Linked DNA regions of Macaca mulatta. The protein of the gene in region 2 purifies or fractionates together with the protein of the main gene of each other region. This does not show direct contact. Links are inferred from orthologs where the notes say so. Each region holds a gene or a part of one and is shown on either strand. Other genes may lie near its edges. The genes, in order: HECTD1, IQGAP1, MYL6B, STAU1, DVL2 and MYL6.

Region 1 (3,146 bases), about 24 Mb from region 2:
TCAGGCCGGGCGCAGTGGCTCACACCTGTAATCCCAGCACTTTGGGAGGCTAAGGCGGGCGAATCACTTGAGGTCAGGAGTTTGAGACCAGCCTGGCCAACATGGTGAAACCTTGTTTCTACTAAAAATACCAAAAATTAGCTGGGCGTGGTGGCAGACGCCTATAATTCCAGCTATTCGGGAGGCTGAGGCAGGAGAATCACTTGAACCCAGGAAGTGGAGGTTGCAGTGAGACAAGATCGTGCTATTGCACTCCAGCCTGGGCAACAAGAGTGAAACTCCATCTCAAAAAAAAAAAAAGACAGCTGACATCATGGTTGATGTTGATTCCTTTTCTCATTGTGTTTTAATTGTTCATTTTTAAAATTTGGTAAATTGTAAGCTGTTAGGCTATACTACATTTATATTAAACTTTTTATTGAATATAACAGATAAGTACACACGTCATATATACAGTTTAGAGGATTTTCTCAAAATGCACACACCTATATATCCAGAATATGAAGCAACTTCAAAAATCCCCCTTCCCACGATATTCTTTTCTGTTAATTTAATCACCATATGTTGATCAGTTTTGCTTGCTTTTGAACTTTTAATGTAAAATCATGTAGTCTGTTTTCTTTGTGGTCTGGTTTCTTTTGAGTAACATGATCATGAGATTTATCCATGTTCTGGCATATAGTTCATTTACTATTTCATTACACAAATTCATTTACACAAGTTCATTTACTATTTCATTACACAAATTTATCACAAGATAATTATTTTGCTGGAACAAAAATCGATTATTTCAGATCCCCTTTGGTATATTTATCCATATTTGGAATGATTTTGCAAATGCATCCTATGTTTTTATGATTTACTGACTTTGTTGCATAATAGATGGACCCCATACACCATCAGTATTTTTTAGTTCTTACAATTTATAAGTGCAAGACAGGCTTTGAGGGATTTTTTTTTTTTTTTTTTTTTTTGAGATGTAGTTTCACTCTTGTTGTCCAGGCTGGAGTGCAATGGCATAATCCTGGCTCACTGAAACCTCTGCCTCCCAGTTTCAAGCGATTCTCCTGCCTTAGCCTCCCAAGTAGCTGGGATTACAGGCATGCGCCACCATGCCCAGCTAATTTTGTATTTTTAGTAGAGATGGGGTTTCACCATGTTCATCAGGCTGGTCTCAAACTCCTGACCTCAGGTGATCCATCCGCCTCATCCTCCCAAGGTGCTGGAATTACAGGTATGAGCCACCACACCTGGCCAGGGATATTTTTAAAGTAGCTTGTCTTAGCCCATTTCATACTTACCCAAGAGTCTCTAGATGTGTTGTTCTTCTGGTGTGAGGATATTGTTTTTTAGGGGGCTTGTTGCTGGCTGACAAAGTAGTGGTAGTGATTTTCATTTAAATCTGCAGTCAACTCAGTATAACTATATTTTTGTTCTTTTAGCCCTGGTTTCCTGAGGTTTGTGAGGGTTTTATGTGGCATGTCTTCTGATGAAAGGAAAGCATTCTTGCAGTTTACCACTGGTTGTTCAACTCTACCCCCAGGTGGACTGGCTAACCTGCATCCCAGGCTCACGGTTGTACGCAAGGTACAAGCTCTGTGGCTAATTGGGAATCCAAATGAAATTTAGTTACTTTACTTTTGAAAGAAAGAAGTATTTAAACTCATGGTCTTCTGTTGTGTTTGCTTTCTTGCTGTAGGTTGACGCTACTGATGCAAGCTATCCATCAGTCAATACATGTGTGCATTACCTTAAGTTGCCTGAATATTCTTCCGAGGAGATCATGAGAGAGCGCCTGCTAGCTGCTACAATGGAGAAAGGCTTTCATCTCAATTGAGCTTTGAAGTGCAATGGGAGACATCAGAGACTTTAAAAATACTAGTGAAGCCTCTTGTGTTTATGTGCAGAGAAGTATATGATCCTCCACGCTAATGACACTTGCCTTTTTTTCCACCATTAAGGCTTTAAGAACATGTGGAATAAGTTTGTTAGCTGCTAATGACAAAACAAATCCTGTAACTACCCAGCCAGCAAGTATATAGCACAGAACACTGTGTTACTTTACAAGGGCTTATGTGACTGGAATAAGGTGGTCCTACTTGACTGTTCCAAAGAGCAGCTTCTCAGATCTTCAGTGTTCACTGGTAAATTTCTAACAGTGTATTTGTGTAAAGTTTGTCATTTCATACTCCATACACTACAGTTGCCGTCACTGATCCCTGTTTTGCTGGCTTTTAAGCTACTTGGTCAAAAATCCTGCTTCCTTAAAACATAGAGAATTAATGAGCATCTCAAGCTTTTTCTTTTCCTTTTTAATGATGCCTGCACTATCAAGAGTATTCTAGTGTTCTCTCTTTGTTTGGCATATAATCATGCACCAACCTTTTATTTCTTTAAGGTGGGAGTATATTTTTATTTGCTAAATGCCGTACTATGAAGATCAAAGTCTTAAGTGTGTTTGTGCAGCTCAAAAATAAAGATGTATTAAGGGGGGAAAACACTGGTCTAAGTGCAAGGCACACTTAAAGCAAGTTTTACTTTTGGTTGTATTTTCTTTGTATATTATAAACATTTATTTAACTTGTTGCCGTTTGAAGTAAAAAATTTCCAAAATGTATGCTCAACAATAATGATTAAAATGTTTGCAGCGTACAAAACTGTGTCGTTTGACTATTTCAGTGCAATCATCAGACTTCAGAGCTTTACCATGTACTTGTCATTTTGAATCATCCACAGTTTTCTGAAATTACTACATAAAGAAATGTGTTTTTCTATAGTAAATACGGTTATTAAAATTGAAAGACTAGAAGAAATATATATTCACACACTTGTGATCCAACGGTTGGGTTCAGTTTTAAAGTATGCCTCAGCTAGAACTGACCAGTTACTTGTGTTAATTGTTTTAAAAAACACCAGATCCACAACTATTATATCTGCAGGGATATGTAAAGTGAGGATGTAAGAAAGATCCAAGAATGATTTTTAAATGTTGTGTTAGTGTCAAAAGAAAACACAAAGATACTGCTGTTTTGTGGTTTTGAAGAAGGGACTGTATTTCCAAATTCCAAAGTGGATTTTCCAAATTCCAGTTATTACCATATCTGTGCTTATAGGTGAAAGGAATGACACTAGGCCTGATTTAGCCA
Region 2 (3,500 bases):
AACGTGTAAAAATCAGATATTTCAAAATAAAACTTAGGGATCTTTATGCTGTAAAAATGAATTACTCCCGAGTTCTTTTTGGATTTAAGATAGGATGTGGTTTACAAACATAAACTTTACACACACCTTGTCAGAAGTGCATCTAACCTTTAAGTACCTACATCAAATCAAAATGAGAAAAAAATTTCAAGCTACTGAGTGGACTTACAATTTTGCAATGTCAGCATGTGTACTTATGCATTTTGTTCAAGTCCAAGGTATCAGCTCAATTTAGTGGCAGCACTAAGTGGAAGCTTCAGATAAATGTTTTCTGAAGATTTACATCTGCAAAAGCTCTCCAGAGTGTACACACCAAACCAGACGTGCTGCAACACTCAGCTTCTTTCCCCACAGTGTGGAGCCCAGCTCACTGCTGAATGTAGACAGCTTTCCTCAGATGAGTCTCCTCTTTATCTAGTTCTCCTACTTGGACAAGAATCTCATCCAGAAAGCTTTTGGTTCCTGCTGGTGCATACCCACCTGATAATGTAACATAAAAGTCTCCATTTGAACTCCCATGAATTTGGCTTTCACTTCAAAGTCTCCAACTTCTTCTGTTGGACTGATTTCAAAGATAACATTTTTAAACCTGTTGAAAGATAACATCGTAAGGGTATGGTTTTTATGTTCTTATATAAAAATATTCTGTGAAATGGGGAAAGGAGATGAACCAAGTCTTCAAGGGTGAAAAGGGGTAGAAAATACAGGTCAAAAGTACTTCTGCACCTGAAGCAGCACGGATTGCCATGCCTAAGTACCATCTGCTCTGGGACTTGGAGAGAGGAATGGCAACCTCTCTCTGCCTGCAGCACTTGCATTCTATAAAAGAAGAACCACTGAGGAGTGCCACAAGTGGCCTGTGAAGGGATGACATCATAGTAATTCTCTTCACTTCCACATGGCCAAAAATGAAACCTAATGATAAAAGGAGAAAACAGGAAACTGGGGTGGAAGGAGATGGTATGTGTGTTTGAATACATGCATGTTTGAGGACTGGGAGAAGTAAATAAACAAAAGGGGGTCAGTAAAAAAAGCTCCAAGGGAGGAGGTTTTTCTAGAAAGAGTAGGTGCTGTGTACATAAGCACACTCAGTATTACCAAAGATAAATTGTTATTATTAAAAATATTTAAGTTATCACTCATTCACAACATGTTACCTGCCAGGAAATTTTAGGAAGCCAAAAGGAAAAGGGGTTATGCAGCCGGGCACGATGCCTCACATCTGTAATCCCAGCACTTTGGGAGACCGAGGCGGGTGGATCACAAGGTCAAGAGATCGAGACCATCCTGGCCAACATGGTAAAATCCCGTCTCTACTAAAAATACAAAAATTAGCTGGGTGTGGTGGCATGCATCTGTAGTCCCAGCTACTCAGGAGGATGAGACAGGAGAATTGATTGAACCCGGGAGCCAGAGGTTGCAGTAAGCTGAGATAGTGCCACTGCAGTCCAGCCTGGTGACAGAGCAAGACTCCGTCTCCAAAAAAAAAAAAAAAAAAAAAAAAAAAGGGGATTAAGGCATTCTCTGGGTGATCAAAGTATAGCACCCCAGATTTCCAGAACTCAACTATGGAGCTACCTTACCTATTACAAACAGGGCTGAGAACCATGAAAGATGCAAAAAGGTCACTGAGAGTTAAAGGAGAAGTCACAAAAACCCATGCACTGAAACATACATGCATTTTATTCAACTGGAATGCCTCACGGGTTATTCCTTAAAGATATTTATCTTAAGTGATAAATAATTTTATCAGATTTAGTTGGCTATTTAGTTTCTAAACCCATAGAAGCAAATTAAAAAGAAGAAAGAAAGGCAAATAGAGGTAGGCACTTGAACAGTAGTGGAAAATAATGACAAAAAGAAGGGCAATATTGACTCATGCCTGTAATCTCAGCACTTTGGGAGGCCAAGGCAGGAGGACTGCTTGAGCCCAGGAGTTCAAGACCAGCCTGGGCAACAAAGTGAAACCCTGTCTCTACAAAATATAATTAGTTGGATATGGTGGCACATGCCTATGGTCCCCGCTACATGGGAGGCTAAGGTGGGAAGATCTCTTAAGCCCAGGAGGTTAGGGCTGCAGTGAGCTGTGATCATGCCAGTGCACTCCTGCCTAGGTGACATAGCAAGACTCTTTCTCTAGAAAAAAATTTAAAAATTATGTACCCATTAAAAAGGATGCTTTCAATGAATATAAAAAATGCTCACAGCATAATGTTATAAGAAAAAAGTTGGATACATGACCATAAACAGTATTGTCCCAGTTTGTGTTAAAAAATATTAAGTAGTTATTTTAGGCTGGGTGCAATGGCTCATCCCTATAATCCTCCCAGCATTTTGGGAAGCTGAGGAGGGCAGATCAGCTTAAGATCAGGAGTTTGAGACCAGCCTGGCCAACATGGTAAAACCCTGTCTCTACTAAAAATACAAAAATTATTTGGATGTGGTGGCAGGCACCTGTAATCCAAGCTACTTGGGAGACTGAGGCAGGAGAATCACTTGAACCTGGGAGGCGGAGGTTACAGTGAGCTGGAGGTTGCAGTGAGCCGAGATTATGCCACTGCACTCCAGCCTAGGCTACACAGAGAGACTGTTCCCCCTCCAAAAAAAAGGCCTGTAATTCCAGCACTTTGGGAGGCCGAAATGGGAGGATCACGAGGTTAGGAGATCAAGACCATCCTGGCTAACATGGTGAAACCCCATCTCTACTGAAAATACAAAAACTTAGCTGGGTGTGGTGATGCATGCCTGTAGTCCCACCTAACTGGGAGGCTGAGGTGGGAGAATTGCTTGAACCCTGGAGGCCAAGGTTGCAGTGAGCTGAGATCGCGCCACCATACTCCAGCTTGGGTGACAGAGAGACTCCGTCAAAAAAAGAAAAAAAGGGGGGGGGGAGAAGAAGAAGAACAAAAAAAAATATATATAAAGTAGTTAGATAAATAAGTGGGTGAGTTGTGGATAATCTTTATGTGAATAGAAAAAAAATACATTAAAATGATTTCCCTGGTTATCTCTGGCTTGTGAAATTACAGGTGTTTTCTTTTTTATGCTTTACTGTATCTTCAAAGTTTAATAATGAATACATATTATTTTAGAATCAGAAAACTGTAAAAGTTCTTTTTTTAAAAGTTTTTTTTTTTTCCCCAGACACAAGAAGGGAAAGATCAGTAGCCTGACGTCACAGGGCTGACTGAGCAGACGCTTAATAAATGCTTGCTAATGAGGCTGGGCCCAGGATCTATGGGAGGATGACATGTCAGGTCCATGAACCACCTGCAAAGCAAGCTGATACTTCCCAGAAAAGAAAATGAAGGTTAAGTGCCTGGTTCCTAGCTGTAAGTGGAATAAAGCAAACTCCTCTTATTGTTACTCTTAATTTATTCTTGGTTCAGAAACAGAAGAAATCCAAGGAGTGGCTTCCTGCTTTAATGATGAAAAATTAAGATCAGACCCAAAGAAGTGAA
Region 3 (4,149 bases), on a different chromosome or scaffold from region 2:
GTTTTTTTGTATTTTTAGTAGTGACAGGGTTTCACCATGTTGGCCAGGCTGGTCTCGAACTCCTGACCTCAGGTGACCAGCCTGCCTCACCTCCCAAAGTGCTGGGACTACAGGCGTGAGCCACCAAGCCCGGCCCTATTTTACCAATAATAACACTTCGAATCCTCCTAAGAGCCCTATGAGGCAGGTACCATTATCATTATTTTACAGATGAGGAACTGAGGCCCAGGAGAGACAACTAAACCTGCTGAGGGCCACTAACCAGCACCTGGTAGAACCAGGATTCAAATATGAGCAGGCTCGTCTGAACCCCATGCACTTGAGCACCCTCTGAGATAATTTAACCCCTTCATCGGTAGCAGATCTATGGTGGCCTCCAGAAATGGTTGCTAACTTACTATCATCGTTATTTCTGTCGTACAATTCATTTCTACCTTTCCAATAAACTTTCCCGAACCAGTGAACCTTACTTACTGCCCATAAAGTTCACCTGTGCCTCACCACCCTGCCCTCGCCCGAGTTTTCTGCTCTGACCGAATCCTCACACGCCAGTGCAGCCCCAGCCTCCAACACCAGGTGCACCGCCAGTGTATTTACTGATCCAGTGAATGAAGGTGGGCCCGGCCGGGCTGGTTCCCATCCTCTGATCAACGCCTAGGGGAACCAGTAAACTCCAATGCTGACCATAAGTGTCTCAGAAAGTAGGTCTGGAAAGCCCAGCCCTCCGCTCAGGAACCTATGAAGACCGGGGAGGATAGCGCATATGCGGCCGCAGGATGGAAACCTCGATCAGAAGGCTGGGGCAGGTGACTGGGCTTAATTGCAAATTTTAACATTTACTTCAGCAACCAGTTCATTAAAAACAAACTACTCTGAGGCCTCTTTTTTTCCCACCAAACCCAAGAGGAAGCGAAAAAGAGCGCAGCCGCTCTCCCTGGGGCCGTAAGTGCTTCCAGCTATCTGACCTCCACGCTGCCTGCTGCAGCCTCAACCTTTCCCCTGGTTCGGAGTTCTTTCAGCAGTAGGTCCAGGAAAACACCTGCCCCGCTCCCCACCGCCCCCCCCCCCACCGCCTCCCGAGACTAGGAGCCCGCCAGGGCTAAGTAGGAGGGATACCCTAGGGACCCTGCAGGGTTTTAGGGTTGGGGTGGATTGGAAATTGTTCATTGCCTTTCAGTTCCGGGACATGGAAGGACACTGAGTCACCAAACGCCGCCATGGGCCGGAAGCCACCGCCCTAGCCTCAGCTGCAATCTAGAGCGCGGCGTATCCCGTGAGCCCACTGGGGACTACGACTCCCGGCATGCTCCGCGGCCGTCGGAATTAACCCTTCAGGGCTGGGGGGCCGCGCTGTGCACCGCCCCCTCCCCAGCCACAGACGCGGACCCCGCAGGGTGAGTTTTGGGGGGCTGAGGAGAGCCGCTTTCTTTAAGGTTTAGTGGGGTGTGTGAGAGTGTGTGTGTGTGTGTGTGTGTGTGTGTCTGTGTGTGATGTATTTTGTAAAAATGGGACAGTTTGCAGTAATGAGATTCAGACACTGTTTTGCGAATGGGAGACCCAGCATCAACCCCGGGGCCTAAGTGGAGTCACTGCTATCTTCCTCAGAATGCTACCTAAATCCTTTCCTAATTTCCCCCAGAACAAAAGTAGGCCGCAACCCCTCCCCACTCCCAAACACCCCCCAACTTGGACTCTCTCCCAGTGCCCCCGGCAAGGTTTGTGACCTGGCCCCTGAGTCGGGATTTTTATTATACCCCTGGTAGTGGGATGAATACTCATGGAGGCCATAGGAGTGCCCACATCCTCTTGGATTAGGGAATTTAAGCCTTCTCCCAGAGCCCGCCCTTCTCGGGTGCCACCACAGGGTCCCCACAGGTTCAGCAAGCGCCCTACCTTTTGTTTGTGTTGAATGACAGTGGTCTTGTGGAAGAAGGTTCCTTCCATGGAAGAATGGGTAGCAGATGTTAAACCTGATCTTTGCCCCCACTCCTTCCCCTAAAACAACACTGCGCACTAGGAGACAATGAGGGATGTCACACTCCTGTTTCTATGACTATTCTTCCTTTATACTGTGAATAGTTTCAATTCTTGGCTGGGTGCGGGCTCAGGAACTACAAGTATTAGGGATTATTAGACTGTAGGGTTAACTACCCCTGCTCTTTACAAAGCCATGGTCAGAAAGGAGTGGAGGGGCTGGGCAGATGGGCTGCTTGTTTTTGTCATTGCTCCCAGACCACACTTTAACTTGTTCCAGTTCACACAAGCCTCCCTGACTGCTACCCCTCACCCCACCCTTCGAGAAGACTAAAGCTGCTGGATCACCTGCTTTGCCTCACCACCCCCATCTCAGTGCAAGCATCCTATCCTCACCCTGGAGGTTAACTACCTCTCATTCTGGGCAGTCCCTGGCTTCCTCCCCTACCCTCAAAGGAAACATTGTTCTTTTCTGGACAGCCTTTGGGGATGAGGGGACAGAGGGAAGAAGACCTTGGGGCAGGAGTCCTGAACCATAGGAGGCCAGGGGAGTGAGGGCAGACGGTTATATCTCTCCTCTACCTCATCCTCGCCACAGCCAACTGGCTCCCTGCCCCTGCCCCCGCCCCTTGACATCCCAGACTCCCTGGCTATTTAAACAGAGATGGGTGCCCCCATCCGCACACTGTCCTTTGGCCACCGGACATCATGCCTCCCAAGAAGGATGTTCCCGTGAAGAAACCAGCAGGGCCCTCCATCTCCAAACCTGCTGCTAAGCCAGCAGCAGCAGCAGGGGCTCCTCCAGCCAAGAGCAAAGCTGAGCCAGCTGTCCCCCAGGCCCCTCAGAAAACCCAGGAGCCTCCAATCGATCTCTCCAAAGTGGTGGTGAGTCTCTGGAAAGTGAAGATAATTGGAGGGGGTGGTTTGAGGGTGAGATACAGCTTAGGGGATTAGGGGGTATCTAGAAGGTAGGGAATCAATGAACCCTGGAATGAGATTGGGGCTTTCCCTTAGTCCCCCATTTGGAAGCATCCAGGCTTATGACTCTGCTGTTGTCTTTGCTGTTCTCTCCCTCTAACCTATAACCATGTGTGTACAGCACATGCACACTCACTTACCCCCTGCTGGAGGCAGGGACTCTTAGATGGGGAACATCTGGGTTCTGAGGACAGTTTCAAGGTGAAGGGAAAAGAGCTGTTGCCTGCCCCTGGCTGGTGATTCAACTCAAAAGGCCTGCAGCTCTGAACTCCAGGAAGGGAGGCTGAAGAGGACAGACTTGTTAGACAATCACAGCTGGGGGCCAGGGGTAAATTTAGCCTTTGTTCAGCCCCCAGTTATGTGAGGGATGCAGGGCTCAGGGCAATGGAGGGAGGGAAACAGGTGGCATGGGATTAACCCTGTTCCCAGGAAACCCTCCCCACTGTAATTCCTCTTCTTGGGATTCTCCCAAGGCCCAGAGCTGGGAATGGGACTGAGGTGGCTGGGCTTCCAGCCTGGTCCCTTTGGGCCCCTCCTCAGAAGTGGCTGCCAGTTGGTTGGGAAGAGTGCTGGAGAGGGACTGAATAAACTGTCATCTCTCCCCACCTGCTTTTTTCTTCCACAGATCGAGTTTAACAAGGACCAGCTGGAGGGTGAGGAGAAGCTGGTCTAAGCCCACTGTCCAGTCCCCAATCCCCTGGTCAGATTCTCTTTCTATTCCCCTAACCCCAGTCCCGACCTTGAAACCTCCCATACTAGTCCTCTTTTCCTCCCTTGTTCTGTTCACATAGTTTCTGAAATTCCCTTCTGTCTGGGGGTGATGGGAACCCCTAGTCAGTGTCTACACTGACCCTTCCTTATACCTTAGAGTTCAAGGAGGCCTTCGAGCTGTTTGACCGAGTAGGGGATGGCAAGATCCTGTACAGCCAGTGTGGGGACGTGATGAGGGCCCTGGGCCAGAACCCCACCAACGCCGAGGTGCTCAAGGTCCTGGGGAACCCCAAGAGTGATGGTGAGGGGACCCTTGGAACAATTTGGGTTTTTAGTTTTCAAAAGTTGAATGTTGGTAACAAAGAATGAGGTGGATCTCAGGACTTCAAAAACTGTCAAACACAGAAGCAGGAAAATATCCTAAATGCTGAACAGGATGAAAGCATTGTGGTAGGGTTGGGAGCCGGGTCCTATGTGATACTACAG
Region 4 (3,500 bases), on a different chromosome or scaffold from region 2:
CAAACCCCAATGTTATTCTTATAGAGTTGATTCATGCATTAAATTTAGTTGAACCAATTATAGTACAGAATAAGGTCTTTTTTATTTCTCTGTATATACACCCTAAAGAGGCATTTTAAAGTGGATTTTTGTGTGCATTTAGATTTTGCCATTTCTAGTGTTCTGTTTTTGATATGAAAGTGTTGTTTTTAAATATGATTGTGCACTGACACTAATCTTTCCAGGCTGGTTTTCTTTTTAAATGGTTTTTAAAAGTTTATGGATTGGATGAACTGAGAGAAAGAAAAATTGGAAAATGAATAGCATGTATCTTCTGAAGTTGATACATTTTGAGATAACTTGTTGTATATGAAAATGGAACTCATTTTCCTAGCAAGTATTACCACAGGTCAAATTCCATTAGAAATATCAAGAATGGAAATACCTGAATATTTTGTGGGCCTTGTGTAACTTCTCCAAAAAGAATTGGGTTGCGGTCGCCTCAGTGATTTTTCACCTTGAGTTGCACATCGTGTTGTATTGTAGCTCTTTAAGTGTGCTTTGTGTTCTTTGAACTCCTCTGGGGCAGGAATTGTTTCTTTTTTTTTTTTTTTAGACAGAGTTTCACTCTTGTTGCCCGATGTGGAGTGCAGTGAGGCAATCTCGGCTCACTGCAGCCTCCGCTTCCTGGGTTCAAGTGATTCTCCTGCTTCAGCCTCCCAAGTAGCTGGGATTACAAGTGCGTGCCACCATGCCTGGCAAATTTTTTGTATTTTTAGTAGAAATGGGGTTTCACCATGTTAGCCAGGCTGGTCTTGAACTCCTGACCTCAGGTGATCTGCCCGCCTCAGCCTTCCAAAGTGCTGGGATTACAGGCGTGAGCCACTCTCACTGCAAGGTCTGCCTCCTGAGGCCATTCTCCTGCCTCAGTCTCCTGAGTAGCTGGGACTACAGGTGCCCACCACCACGCCCGACTAATTTTTTGTATTTTTTAGTAGAGACGGAGTTTCACCATGTTAACCAGGATGGTCTTGATATCCTGACCTCGTGATCCGCCTGCCTCGGCCTCCCAAAGTGCTGGGATTACAGGCGTGACCCACCATGCCTGGCCAGGAATTGTATTTCTTAAGCTTAGCACAGTGCTTTGCATCCAGTTAGTAACGTAATAAATGCATCATTCAATAGTGTGTACAGATATACTTCTGAGTGCAAGCCAATAATCCTGTAAATCAGTACAACCAAGGTTATATTGATTAAATATTCTCAAACACTAAAATAATTTGGACATTTACATGGGATTTTTTAATCGTGAAATTTGATGTGTTTTGGAACTTATTTCTGACAGCTGTACCATATAGCTTTCACTGATAATGTCTTGGGTTAAATTGTGGCTCCTCTGATAACCCTCAGAGTAGATTTTGTGCTGTTGACTATATATAAATATCGAGAAATCACAGCATATTCTTGGATTTCCTTGTCTGATGCCTAGCAGTGACCCAGGTCCTTTTATGTATCATGAATCCGATTAGCAGAAAGCATGCTATTACATTTTATTTTAGTGAGTATCATTCTCATATCAGAACAAAACAGTTATTTGTCGATTCTTTCTTGTAGAAAGCATAACTCCTACTGTAGAACTAAATGCACTGTGCATGAAACTTGGAAAAAAACCAATGTATAAGCCTGTTGACCCTTACTCTCGGATGCAGTCCACCTATAACTACAACATGAGAGGAGGTGCTTATCCCCCGAGGTATGTGTGAGTTTTTTTTTTTCTCCATAAAATACAGGTGAAAATGTGTGATATTTTACATAAACTAGTACCTCTAGATTGTGGAGGGAGTAATGATTTGGTTTGGGCCTGCCAAATGTTGAAGTCGGTCTTAATTACTCTTGTGCCTTGTGCCCCTCCCCTGCCTTTTTTTTTTTTGAGACAGAGTCTTGCTGTGTCGCCCAGGCTGAAGTGCAGTGGCGCTGTCTCGGCTCACTGCATCCTCAGCCTCCTGGATTCAAGTGATTTCTCCCTGTCTCAGCCTCCCGAGTAGCTGGGATTGCAGGCGCCTGCCACCACGCCCGGCTAAGTTTTTTTTGTATTTTTTAGTACAGACGGGGTTCTGCGATGTTCGCCAGGCTGGTCTTGAACTCCTGACCTCAGATGATCTGCCCACTTTGGCCTCCCAAAGTGAGTCCCAAACTCACAGAGCACCCGGCCGCCCCTCTTTTTTTTTTTTTAATTCATTGAGACAGTGTCTCCCTATGTTGCCCCAACTGGTCTTGAACTCCTGGGCTCAAGGAGTCCTCCTGCCTCAGCCTGCCACAGTGCTAGGATTAAAGGCATGAGCCACTATACCCGGCCCTTTGTGCTTCTTTACTGCTCTTGGAAAGGGCCTGAGCATATTTCTCACTGGCAGTGTGGCTTGTGCCCTCTAGCAGCCTGGCTAAAGATCACCCTTGTAACTGCTTTGTGTAACTGAATCTTATTCAAACATGATTCCCATAGCATCATGATTCCTGCAAGACAGTGATTCCCAGCATTTGTAGATTACCTGATAATTGGGTACTTTTTGACTTTTGAACTTGTGCGCTTTGTAAATAGCTTTGTTGCAGTAAAATATTAATTGAAACCTGAAAATGCCATGGATTAAAAAATCTTTTGCCGGCAGTAGTAAGACATTAGTGGAGGCCGAGCGCGGTGGCTCATGCCTGTAATCCCAGCTCTTTGGGAGGCTGAGGTGGGCGGATCACGAGGTCAGGAGTTTGAGACCAGTCTGGCCAACACAGTGAAACCCTGTCTCTACTAAAAATATGAAAATTAGCTGGGCCTGGTAGTGGGCACCTATAATCGCAGCTACTCAGGAGGCTGAGGCAGGAGAATCACTTGAATCCAAGAGGCAGAGATTGCAGTGAGCTGAGATCACGCCACTGCACTCCAGCCTGGGCAACGAGAGAAACTCCATCTCAAAAAAAAAAAAAAAATTAGTGGATAGATGATGAACAAAATGGAATTCTTCATTTCCCTGCTCTCTGTTGGGGGATAAAGCCATTTTAAAAATACAAGCTATGAAATGGATAAGAAACTGGGTTCTGCTAGGGAAATGAATGAGAAACTGGGTTCTGCTAGGTAGGCTACAGCTTGTTGGGATTTCTTGAAATGAGGGTCCTTTCTAAAAGACTTGTGCGTTAAAATTCCCAGCCTTCTATTGGAGACATGCAAATTTAAAGCTAAGGTTTGAGAAGGCAGAGCAAACCAAGTGTCTGTCTCCGCCAAAGCCTAATTCATTTTAGATTTTGTCAGTGCAGGTTAGCATGATAAACTCATAATTTCTAAGCCATTGTGTTTCCTGAGATGTAAGTTTGGATTGCTAAAAACTCTTTTCTTATACTGTGTAGCAATTCTAATCCAGTTTAAGCTTTTATGAAATCTCTGGATATATTGATGAAGAGTGATTAGCATCAAACACTAATGTGAGTAGGATCGTGATGAAGGAACATTTGCCAGAGAGTGTATAGGTGACTTATCA
Region 5 (3,401 bases), on a different chromosome or scaffold from region 2:
ACCACACGGCCCAGCATGAGAAAATGCTCTGTGACACCTGGTGTATCGAGGTGAGACTCGGGGCTGCTAAGCTCAGGTGAGGGCTAGAGGTGCAGGCCCAACCCTCCTTCCCTCTCCCCAGGCTGCAGCCCGGATCCGAGAGGGCATGGCCGCCCTGCAGTCTGACCCCCGGCAGCATGAGCTCTACCGCAACTTCAAAAGCATCTCCAAGGCCTTGGTGGAGCGGGGTGGTGTGGTCACCAGCAACCCACTTGGCTTCTGAATACTCCTGGCCAGGGCCTGGCCCGGTTATGTGCCTTTCCTCAAGCCAAAGCCCCTCTCCTTAGGGCCCTGGTTTGTCCCGGAGGGGGCCTAGTATTCCCAGGACTGTGCCTGCTCTCAAGAGCACTTACTGCCTCGAAAATAATAAAAATTTCTAACCAGTCATGCTTTGCTCCTGTGTGTCCGTTCTTTCCCTCTGCTGCCTGCCTCCCTCCCAAAGAAAGGAGCCAGAGGCGTGGGGAGTTTGCCTCTATTGCTTTATTTGGTGTTTTATACAAGTGACTAAAATAAATAGAGTAACAAAGGCAGCTACATGGCCCAAATCTCCCAGCTTCCTCAGGCTGCTGTCTAGGGTGCCTAACCCCAGGGTACCACTGACCACCCCCAAACCTGCACAGGGCAAGGCTATGGGTAACTGGAGGAGGAGGTCACATTCTGGGGTTAGAAGGGGCCCAACGGACGGGATTTTTCATATAAAAGAGAAAATGCCTATTTAAAAAGTCCCAAAAATGTAAGAAACTCTATTTTAACCCCCAAAAAGACTTATTAAAAAAACAAAGCTAAAAATAATCAAAGGTCCCTTGTCTACCCGAGGGAAGGGGGAGGAACCAGGCACTGCTGGTGAGAGTCACAGTGGCCACAATCTCCTGTATGGCAGCAGCTGCTAGGCTGAGCCCAGGCACTGTAAGAGCAAGCACATGATGGCCAGGACAGCCAGTCACACACCAGGAGCGCCAGGCCAAGCCTGGCCCCACAGTGGGCTACATAACATCCACAAAGAACTCGCTGGGATTGCCCATGGCCATGTGGAAGCTTTGGCGGCTGGCTGTCAGTTCTGGCGGCACAGAGCCCAGGTCTCTGACTGGAGGGGCCCCCGGAGGCTGCACTGCTGGAGGGACTGGAGGTGGGGGTGGGGGCATCATGACCACCATCATGGGGTTGTAGGGGAGGGCCATGCCAGGGGGTGGTCCATAAGGATGGAGCCCCGAGTGGGCTCGGAGATTAGGGGCACCCCCAGCTGAGCCTCTGGATGGAGGAGGGCCCCCATCGCCAGTCCCACTTGGTTCCCCACCCCGCCGAAGGCTGCCCCCTCGGCTGGAGGGCTCGGACTCACTGCCACTGCCGGACTTGGACTCGGGGGCCCGCTCCTCGGGCCTCCCTGTGCGCCCTGCCCCCCCATCACTCCGGGTCGACCCACTGCTCCGGCTGCCTGTGGAGGGAGGGGAGGGGCAACTAAGTCCTCACCCAGGCTCCTCCCTGGCTGCCCTCTGATCCACCCTCAGACCCTGGCCGTACAGGTATGTGGGGATGACTTACCCTCACTGTGCTGGCTGCTGGCACTGCCCCCACCAAAGGTATAAGATGAAAGTTCATGGTACGGTGGGGGCTGCGGGCTGTAGGGGTGTGGGGCCGGGTATTGGTAGGAGAAAGTGGGCAGCAAGGGCCAGGGGGTGGCCCCAGGCAGAGGAGCCAGGGTGTCCTGGTCCGAAGCCCCACTGGAGCCATCGTTGTCATTGAGAGACAGGTTGACTAGGTCTGGAAAACAAGGGAAGTGAGGAAGAAATCACTGCTTCAAGAGGCTAAGGCCCCAAGACACGGAATGGAGAGCCCAGACCCACCCACGATGGGGCTCAAAACAGGGGTTCACAGGGGACTCTTGACAGGAAACTCCCATCTACTTCTGCCATGAGGGCAGGGGCACAGCCAGGGCCACCACTAGCCCATGTCTTTGTGGGACTCAGGAGGATGTGCACCTTCCCCCGGTGGACACAGTCCTGCACCTGGCGCGTGGCTTGTCCAGCAGCGCATGGATGGATGCCAGCCACGATCCTCGGCCAATGCAGGACCTAGTGCGGGACACACGCTGCTCGACCATCCATCGTGGCCCTGGCTGCAGTTTCTGGGCTAGGTCTAGGGTTGGAGAGGCAGAACAAGGCAGGCAAAGCCACACTCCCAGAGTTGGGGCAGAGGGACTCACAGCTCTCACAGCCACCACTGAGGTCTCCGAAGACGTAATAGCACTGTTCAGAGAAGGTGATCTTGTTGACGGTGTGTCGGATCAGGCCCGCTTTGAGCAGCCCACTGGCATACTTGCGGGCCTCCCGCCGCTCAGGAAAGCCCTCCACGTGATGGTAGAGCCAGTCAACCACATCCGAGCCTGGGAGCATCCACAGTGGAAAAAGGCCTCAGGTTCTCCTTCCAACTCCTGCTCTCGCCTCTGCCTGTGCCACTCCCGGCTTTGGCTGCCTCCTCCTCCCTTTCTCCAGCCACCTGCCCAGGACCCAGCCGTACCCAGAAAGGCATTAGGGATGGTGATCTTGAGCCACATGCGGTCCCGGACTTCCAGTCCAGACTCTGGAGCTGCCATGGCCTTGGTCACCGATGCCATGTCCGTATGGATGGAGAGACCCCGGCCCTCACAGCCTGGCAGAGGAGACCACAGGGAATGAGAGTCAGGGATCACTCCCACAAAGGCAATGGGTCAGACCACTGCAGGACAGCCTTCTGCTGGGAGGGTGGGATGCGGTGGGCTGGTGGCTCACCATCAGGCAAAGAGGATCCAGATGTAATGGTGCTCATGGAGGAGGAGCCCGGATAGGCTGGGAAGGTGCCAGTCAGAGCCGCAGAGTGGGACACCCAGGCAGCAGGGTCAATTGGCTGGATGGGCTCATCTGGGACAAAGATGGCACCAAAATGACCCATTCTCAGTCCCCAAAAGCCAGCCCAGTCCCTCCCTGACTCAGCCTCCTGTTCCACCTCTGCCTGGACCCTCCTCCCACCCACTCCCCATGACCAGAGGTCCAGCCCCAGCCTCCTGGCCAGCCCCCACCCCCAACTTCAGGCCCCCTCCCTGAGTGTCACTCACTTCTCGGGAGAGTGAAATAGGCCTGAGGAGAGGGATCCCAGCACTTGGCCACAGTCAGCACAATGGGGCTACGGGGAAGAGAAGTCCAGTCAAGGGCGCAGGGGAAGAGGAGGCCTCAGGAGAGTGGGGGCCTGAAGCAAGGATGGATTAAGAGACACAAAGAGAAGGAGAAGCAAGCACATCGCGGCTGGGCTGGAGAAGGTGAGGGTGGAAGGCACCACAATGCGGATGACTCATCAACATGGAAAACTCTTAAAAACATACTGCCAAATGA
Region 6 (3,935 bases), on a different chromosome or scaffold from region 2:
CACCAGCTGTTAGTGCCCCTCCCCACCCTGAGCAGCAAGAACACAGCAGAGGCAGAAAAGTTCTCAACTACACCTACAGCTACTGTCAGCCACTGGCGGGAGGAGAGGACAAGAGTTTTGGGTTAGGGTACCTCCAAGCTGCCCAGCGAGGGAAGGGGAAAGGACTGTTCAGCTATAGCAGCAGAATGGGGCAGGCAACCCATACCCCTCTATGCCAGCTACCCATGCTCCAGGGCCAGAAGGTCACCCTAAAGCAAGACTGGTATACAGGCTGGTGAGAGTTCCCAGACACCAGCACCCAGGGCCCTATAAGTAAAACCTCAAGGCCCATTCTAGAAGTAAAGAGGTACCTTACCCCCAGGCTGTATTCCTCTATGAGGAATCCCTCCCCTCCCTAGTCAGCTCCATGCAGAAACATGCCAGGAGGAAGTCAGATGGTAGTAGGGTAAGGGCAGGGGATAAAGAGCACAGGTTGAGGAAAAAAGAAACACTGGGGAGATCAACTAGGGGAGAGGCTGGGAGGAGCCGTACCCGCCCCATGGGCCCGTCACCCCGACAGGATATGCCTCACAAACGCTGCAGGAAGGAAGAGACATTCATGGTGAAGACAAGACACAGACATGGGGTGAGGGGTCAGGCGGTGGGGACAGACATTCCATTATTTCACTTCTCATTCCTTCCCACCCTCTACAATACTACTCCTTCCTTTCCTGTTACACCCCCCTGACCTCCCACTCCTGGGCTGGGCTGGGCAGGGCCCTGCACCTTGCCTCCTGGCTCTTTTTGGAGCCCACGTCCAGGGATAGGGAAAGCCCCAAACACTATACTTGACCTGCCCCATGTGGCTGCGAAAGCGCAGTTCACCCCTTACCTTCATAGTTGATACAACCATTGCTGTCCTCGTGCCCTGCCACCAGCATCTCTACTTCTTCCTCTGTCATCTTCTCACCTGCAGGGGGAAAGAGAGCATCTTTGGAATTGGGAGACAAGTGAGGTATTCAGGGTGGCATCTCAGCTCAAGGACAAGGACACAGAACCTTACCCAGTGTGACAAGAACATGCCGGATTTCAGCACCCATGACAGTGCCATTTCCTTCCTTGTCAAACACCCGAAGTCCTTCGACATAATCCTCATAGGTGCCCTGGTCCTTGTTCTTGGCCACTGTCTGCAGCATGGGCAGAAAGTGCTCAAAGTCCAGCACCTTCACGTTCATCTCTGCCATAAAGGAGGTGGAAGTGTCAGGCCAGAGAAGTAACACAAGTTCTCAGGACGGGGGATAATAGAGACCTCAACTGAACAGAGAGATGACTCCCTCCTAAGCAGGGAAATCCATGGGATTTGCTAATCCAGACTTTTGAGTTTGGGGCCTATGAAGATAAAGGGAAGCTCTTAGCTGAAGAACTGTGGGCCCATGACCACACTGAGTTGTTGTTCTTGAGGCCCCTCACCATCACTCTTGGGGTTCCCCAGGACCTTGAGCACCTCGGCGTTGGTAGGGTTCTGGCCCAGGGCCCTCATCACGTCCCCACACTGGCTGTACAGGATCTTGCCATCACCTGTTCGGTCAAACAGCTGGAAGGCCTCCTTGAACTCTGAGGATTCAGATGAATGTCAACACAGGATTTGAGGGTTAACCCAAACCCTACCTCAGAGCCTGCTGCCCATTCAACTTTGATCATGCTGAGGAAACCAGATATCTGCACCAAACTGTACACCGAAGTGTACTTAAGAGGGATCTATTTATCTTCCTCCCAACTCAGGTGTCCTATATAGAGCCTTCCTCCCCCTCTGGCAGCCTGGTAACATCCATTTACACATCCCCCTCTGCCTGCGGCAGACCTGCCAATCTCCACTGCTGCTACTACACTTCTCAGGGCAGGAATTCGCCACCGCCCAGTCTCAGTCCTGTCCTTATAAGGAAGTGAGAGCAGCAGCCTGGGACCAGGGTCATCCCAACCTGCCACTTTGCACCCCTCCAGTACAAAGAGAACTTCCAGAGGGTAGAGCTACAGTCATATCCTTAGCAAACTCCCCTGTCCTGTCCCCATCTGCACAGAATATCAAGTCACTGCTCTACAGTCTTCACAACTGCAAGCTGGGAGGTCAGGGGCAGTTATCACAGGAGGAGAAAAAAGACAGAAGTAGCTGATTAAGGGACAAAGGAGAGCAGGCAGCTTTATACACCCTCCCCAGACCCCACAAACAGCAGGCATTAGGTGACCAAGTTTTTTCACATACCCACACCACCTAAAACTCACCCAGTGCTTGGGACTCAGATCTAGAGTGGAAGGGGAGGGAGGAAGAAAGTGAGAAAAGAAAATGGAGGATCCAAAAGAAGAGAAAATAATCCAGGGGGTAACCTCATAGGGGTGCTAAAGAGATGACAGATTAAGATTAGAGGATAGGTGCTGGGGGGCGGGTGTCCCTCTCCCTAAGGGTGACCTCGGTAGGGATCAGAGATAACCTACCTGCGGTCTGGTCTTCGGTGAAGTCACACTGCTCAGAGAAGAGGGAAGTGGTCAGCATCTGAACGCCAATCCCCCGAGTTTCTATCCCAGCCCCACAAACTCCTGTTTCAGGCTGCAGACTCGCTTCCCCGCAGGATAGGGCCCCAGGCTTTCCAACCCCACCTCCAACCTTTCGGGTCCTCAGGTTCCCTTTGCCTCCTACCCCTGCCTTCTCCTCGCCCCCCCACCCGTCTCTTCCCACCTCTCGCCCCCAATCCTGCCCATCTCCCAGGACCTGGGCCCCACCATCTTGACTGCTCAGCTCTGCGGGACCTTTTCCTGCAGTAATGGCTCCGACTCTCGGCCCAACCCTAGTCTTAGTACGTCCCAATGACGTCACCCTCAGCGGACTCAGCCAATAGGAACCGTGACCTGGGTTTATGCAGATAATTGCTACATTAGTAATGACGTGGGCGGGGCCCGCTGTTCGTTTCTCCAGCCCTACCTGGGCACAGAACCGCTCGGGGATGGGAGTGGGGGGGGCGTGGGGCACAATTAATCTGCGCCTCCCAACAACAGGAACATTAGAGGACTGGAAGAGGAGAGAGCCTTCTTTTCCCGCCCTCTCCTCCTAGCACCCTCCCCGTCTCCCCTTGCTCCCCCAACCATGAAAAAAATAGTCTGAAACGAAGAGAGGAACCCAGTCTTTATTTTGAAACAATAGGTGGCCTCCTGGTGGCTGGAACGTGCTTCCGCCCGCGGGGCCCAGTGTCCGGACCCCACTGGATCTGTGGAAAAAAACGAAAGTTGCCAAGCGCTGGAGCCCGCGCAGCAACCGGACAGCAGAACGAACTCCGCTGCTTTTCTATGCTGGCTGAGAAGCGCGGGAGACTTGCCTCTTAAGGCGCGGTGAAGGGGTGGGAAGGCCCTACCTGTAGCACTCAGACGCTTAGGATGTGTTTCAAGAAGGCTGCAAAGAGAGGAGGCAAGAGGGGCTTCAGAAGCAGGCCTCTGGATAATACATCTGACTCTAGATAATTCAGGGGTGCCCCCACCCACACGCGGCAAGACGCCGGGCTCCCCTCCTCCCCCGGCCCCGCTCCTGCTTTTTTGGCCCCTCACCCTCGTAGTTGATGCAGCCGTTGCTGTCCTCATGTCCTGCCAGAACAGTCTCCACCTCCTCCTCAGTCATCTTCTCTCCTGAATCCCAGACACAACGTCTGAGTCCCTGCTTTCCCTCCTTCACTCACCCAGGCAATGCTTTTTTCCGAGACGTTGTTTCGCTCCTGTCACCCAGGCTGGAGTGCAGTGGAGCAGTCTCGGCTCACTGCAACCTCCGCCTCCCGTGTTTAAGCGATTCTCCTGCCTCAGCCTCCCGAGTAGCTGGGACTACAGGTTCACCGCTAATTTTTTGTATTTCTGGTAGAGATGAGTTTTCACCATGTTGGGCAGGCTGCTCTCAAACTCTTGACCTCAGGTCATACACT

The links.
Region 1: the proteins of IQGAP1 (region 2) and HECTD1 purify together in Homo sapiens (affinity purification with mass spectrometry; 3 studies listed by BioGRID, with this or other methods). This does not show direct contact. The link is inferred for Macaca mulatta from reciprocal best matches to the Homo sapiens genes IQGAP1 and HECTD1.
Region 3: the proteins of IQGAP1 (region 2) and MYL6B purify together in Homo sapiens (affinity purification with mass spectrometry; 3 studies listed by BioGRID and IntAct, with this or other methods). This does not show direct contact. The link is inferred for Macaca mulatta from reciprocal best matches to the Homo sapiens genes IQGAP1 and MYL6B.
Region 4: the proteins of IQGAP1 (region 2) and STAU1 purify together in Homo sapiens (affinity purification with mass spectrometry; 4 studies listed by BioGRID and IntAct, with this or other methods). This does not show direct contact. The link is inferred for Macaca mulatta from reciprocal best matches to the Homo sapiens genes IQGAP1 and STAU1.
Region 5: the proteins of IQGAP1 (region 2) and DVL2 purify together in Homo sapiens (affinity purification with western blotting; 3 studies listed by BioGRID, with this or other methods). This does not show direct contact. The link is inferred for Macaca mulatta from reciprocal best matches to the Homo sapiens genes IQGAP1 and DVL2.
Region 6: the proteins of IQGAP1 (region 2) and MYL6 purify together in Homo sapiens (affinity purification with mass spectrometry; 4 studies listed by BioGRID and IntAct, counting the BioPlex papers as one, with this or other methods). This does not show direct contact. The link is inferred for Macaca mulatta from reciprocal best matches to the Homo sapiens genes IQGAP1 and MYL6.

Annotation. Positions count from the first base shown.
Region 1 is NC_133412.1:104,221,553-104,224,698, reverse strand, and holds the end of HECTD1 (E3 ubiquitin-protein ligase HECTD1), read left to right. Parts: intron 1-1,442; coding exon 1,443-1,587; intron 1,588-1,699; coding exon 1,700-1,837; 3' UTR 1,838-2,646; downstream 2,647-3,146. UniProt on the Homo sapiens protein: E3 ubiquitin-protein ligase which accepts ubiquitin from an E2 ubiquitin-conjugating enzyme in the form of a thioester and then directly transfers the ubiquitin to targeted substrates.
Region 2 is NC_133412.1:80,384,156-80,387,655, reverse strand, and holds part of IQGAP1 (ras GTPase-activating-like protein IQGAP1), read right to left. Parts: intron 629-3,500; coding exon 520-628; intron 1-519. UniProt on the Homo sapiens protein: Plays a crucial role in regulating the dynamics and assembly of the actin cytoskeleton.
Region 3 is NC_133416.1:63,303,961-63,308,109, forward strand, and holds the start of MYL6B (myosin light chain 6B), read left to right. Parts: upstream 1-1,349; 5' UTR 1,350-1,394; intron 1,395-2,615; 5' UTR 2,616-2,682; coding exon 2,683-2,859; intron 2,860-3,577; coding exon 3,578-3,605; intron 3,606-3,820; coding exon 3,821-3,964; intron 3,965-4,149. UniProt on the Homo sapiens protein: Regulatory light chain of myosin. Does not bind calcium.
Region 4 is NC_133415.1:101,966,591-101,970,090, reverse strand, and holds part of STAU1 (double-stranded RNA-binding protein Staufen homolog 1), read left to right. Parts: intron 1-1,593; coding exon 1,594-1,732; intron 1,733-3,500. UniProt on the Homo sapiens protein: Binds double-stranded RNA (regardless of the sequence) and tubulin.
Region 5 is NC_133421.1:8,711,184-8,714,584, forward strand, and holds the end of DVL2 (segment polarity protein dishevelled homolog DVL-2), read right to left. Parts: intron 3,196-3,401; coding exon 3,128-3,195; intron 2,934-3,127; coding exon 2,805-2,933; coding exon of another isoform or gene 2,787-2,804; intron 2,725-2,786; coding exon of another isoform or gene 2,686-2,724; coding exon 2,554-2,685; intron 2,420-2,553; coding exon 2,240-2,419; intron 2,109-2,239; coding exon of another isoform or gene 2,043-2,108; intron 1,798-2,042; coding exon 1,579-1,797; coding exon of another isoform or gene 1,558-1,578; intron 1,495-1,557; coding exon of another isoform or gene 1,472-1,494; coding exon 1,023-1,471; 3' UTR 501-1,022; downstream 1-500. Other genes in the region: ACADVL (very long-chain specific acyl-CoA dehydrogenase, mitochondrial), read left to right, coding at 1-50, 122-262.
Region 6 is NC_133416.1:63,309,899-63,313,833, reverse strand, and holds the start of MYL6 (myosin light polypeptide 6), read right to left. Parts: upstream 2,801-3,935; 5' UTR 2,758-2,800; coding exon 2,755-2,757; intron 2,498-2,754; coding exon 2,470-2,497; intron 1,594-2,469; coding exon 1,450-1,593; intron 1,217-1,449; coding exon 1,043-1,216; intron 950-1,042; coding exon 872-949; intron 577-871; coding exon 548-576; 3' UTR 532-547; intron 1-531. UniProt on the Homo sapiens protein: Regulatory light chain of myosin. Does not bind calcium.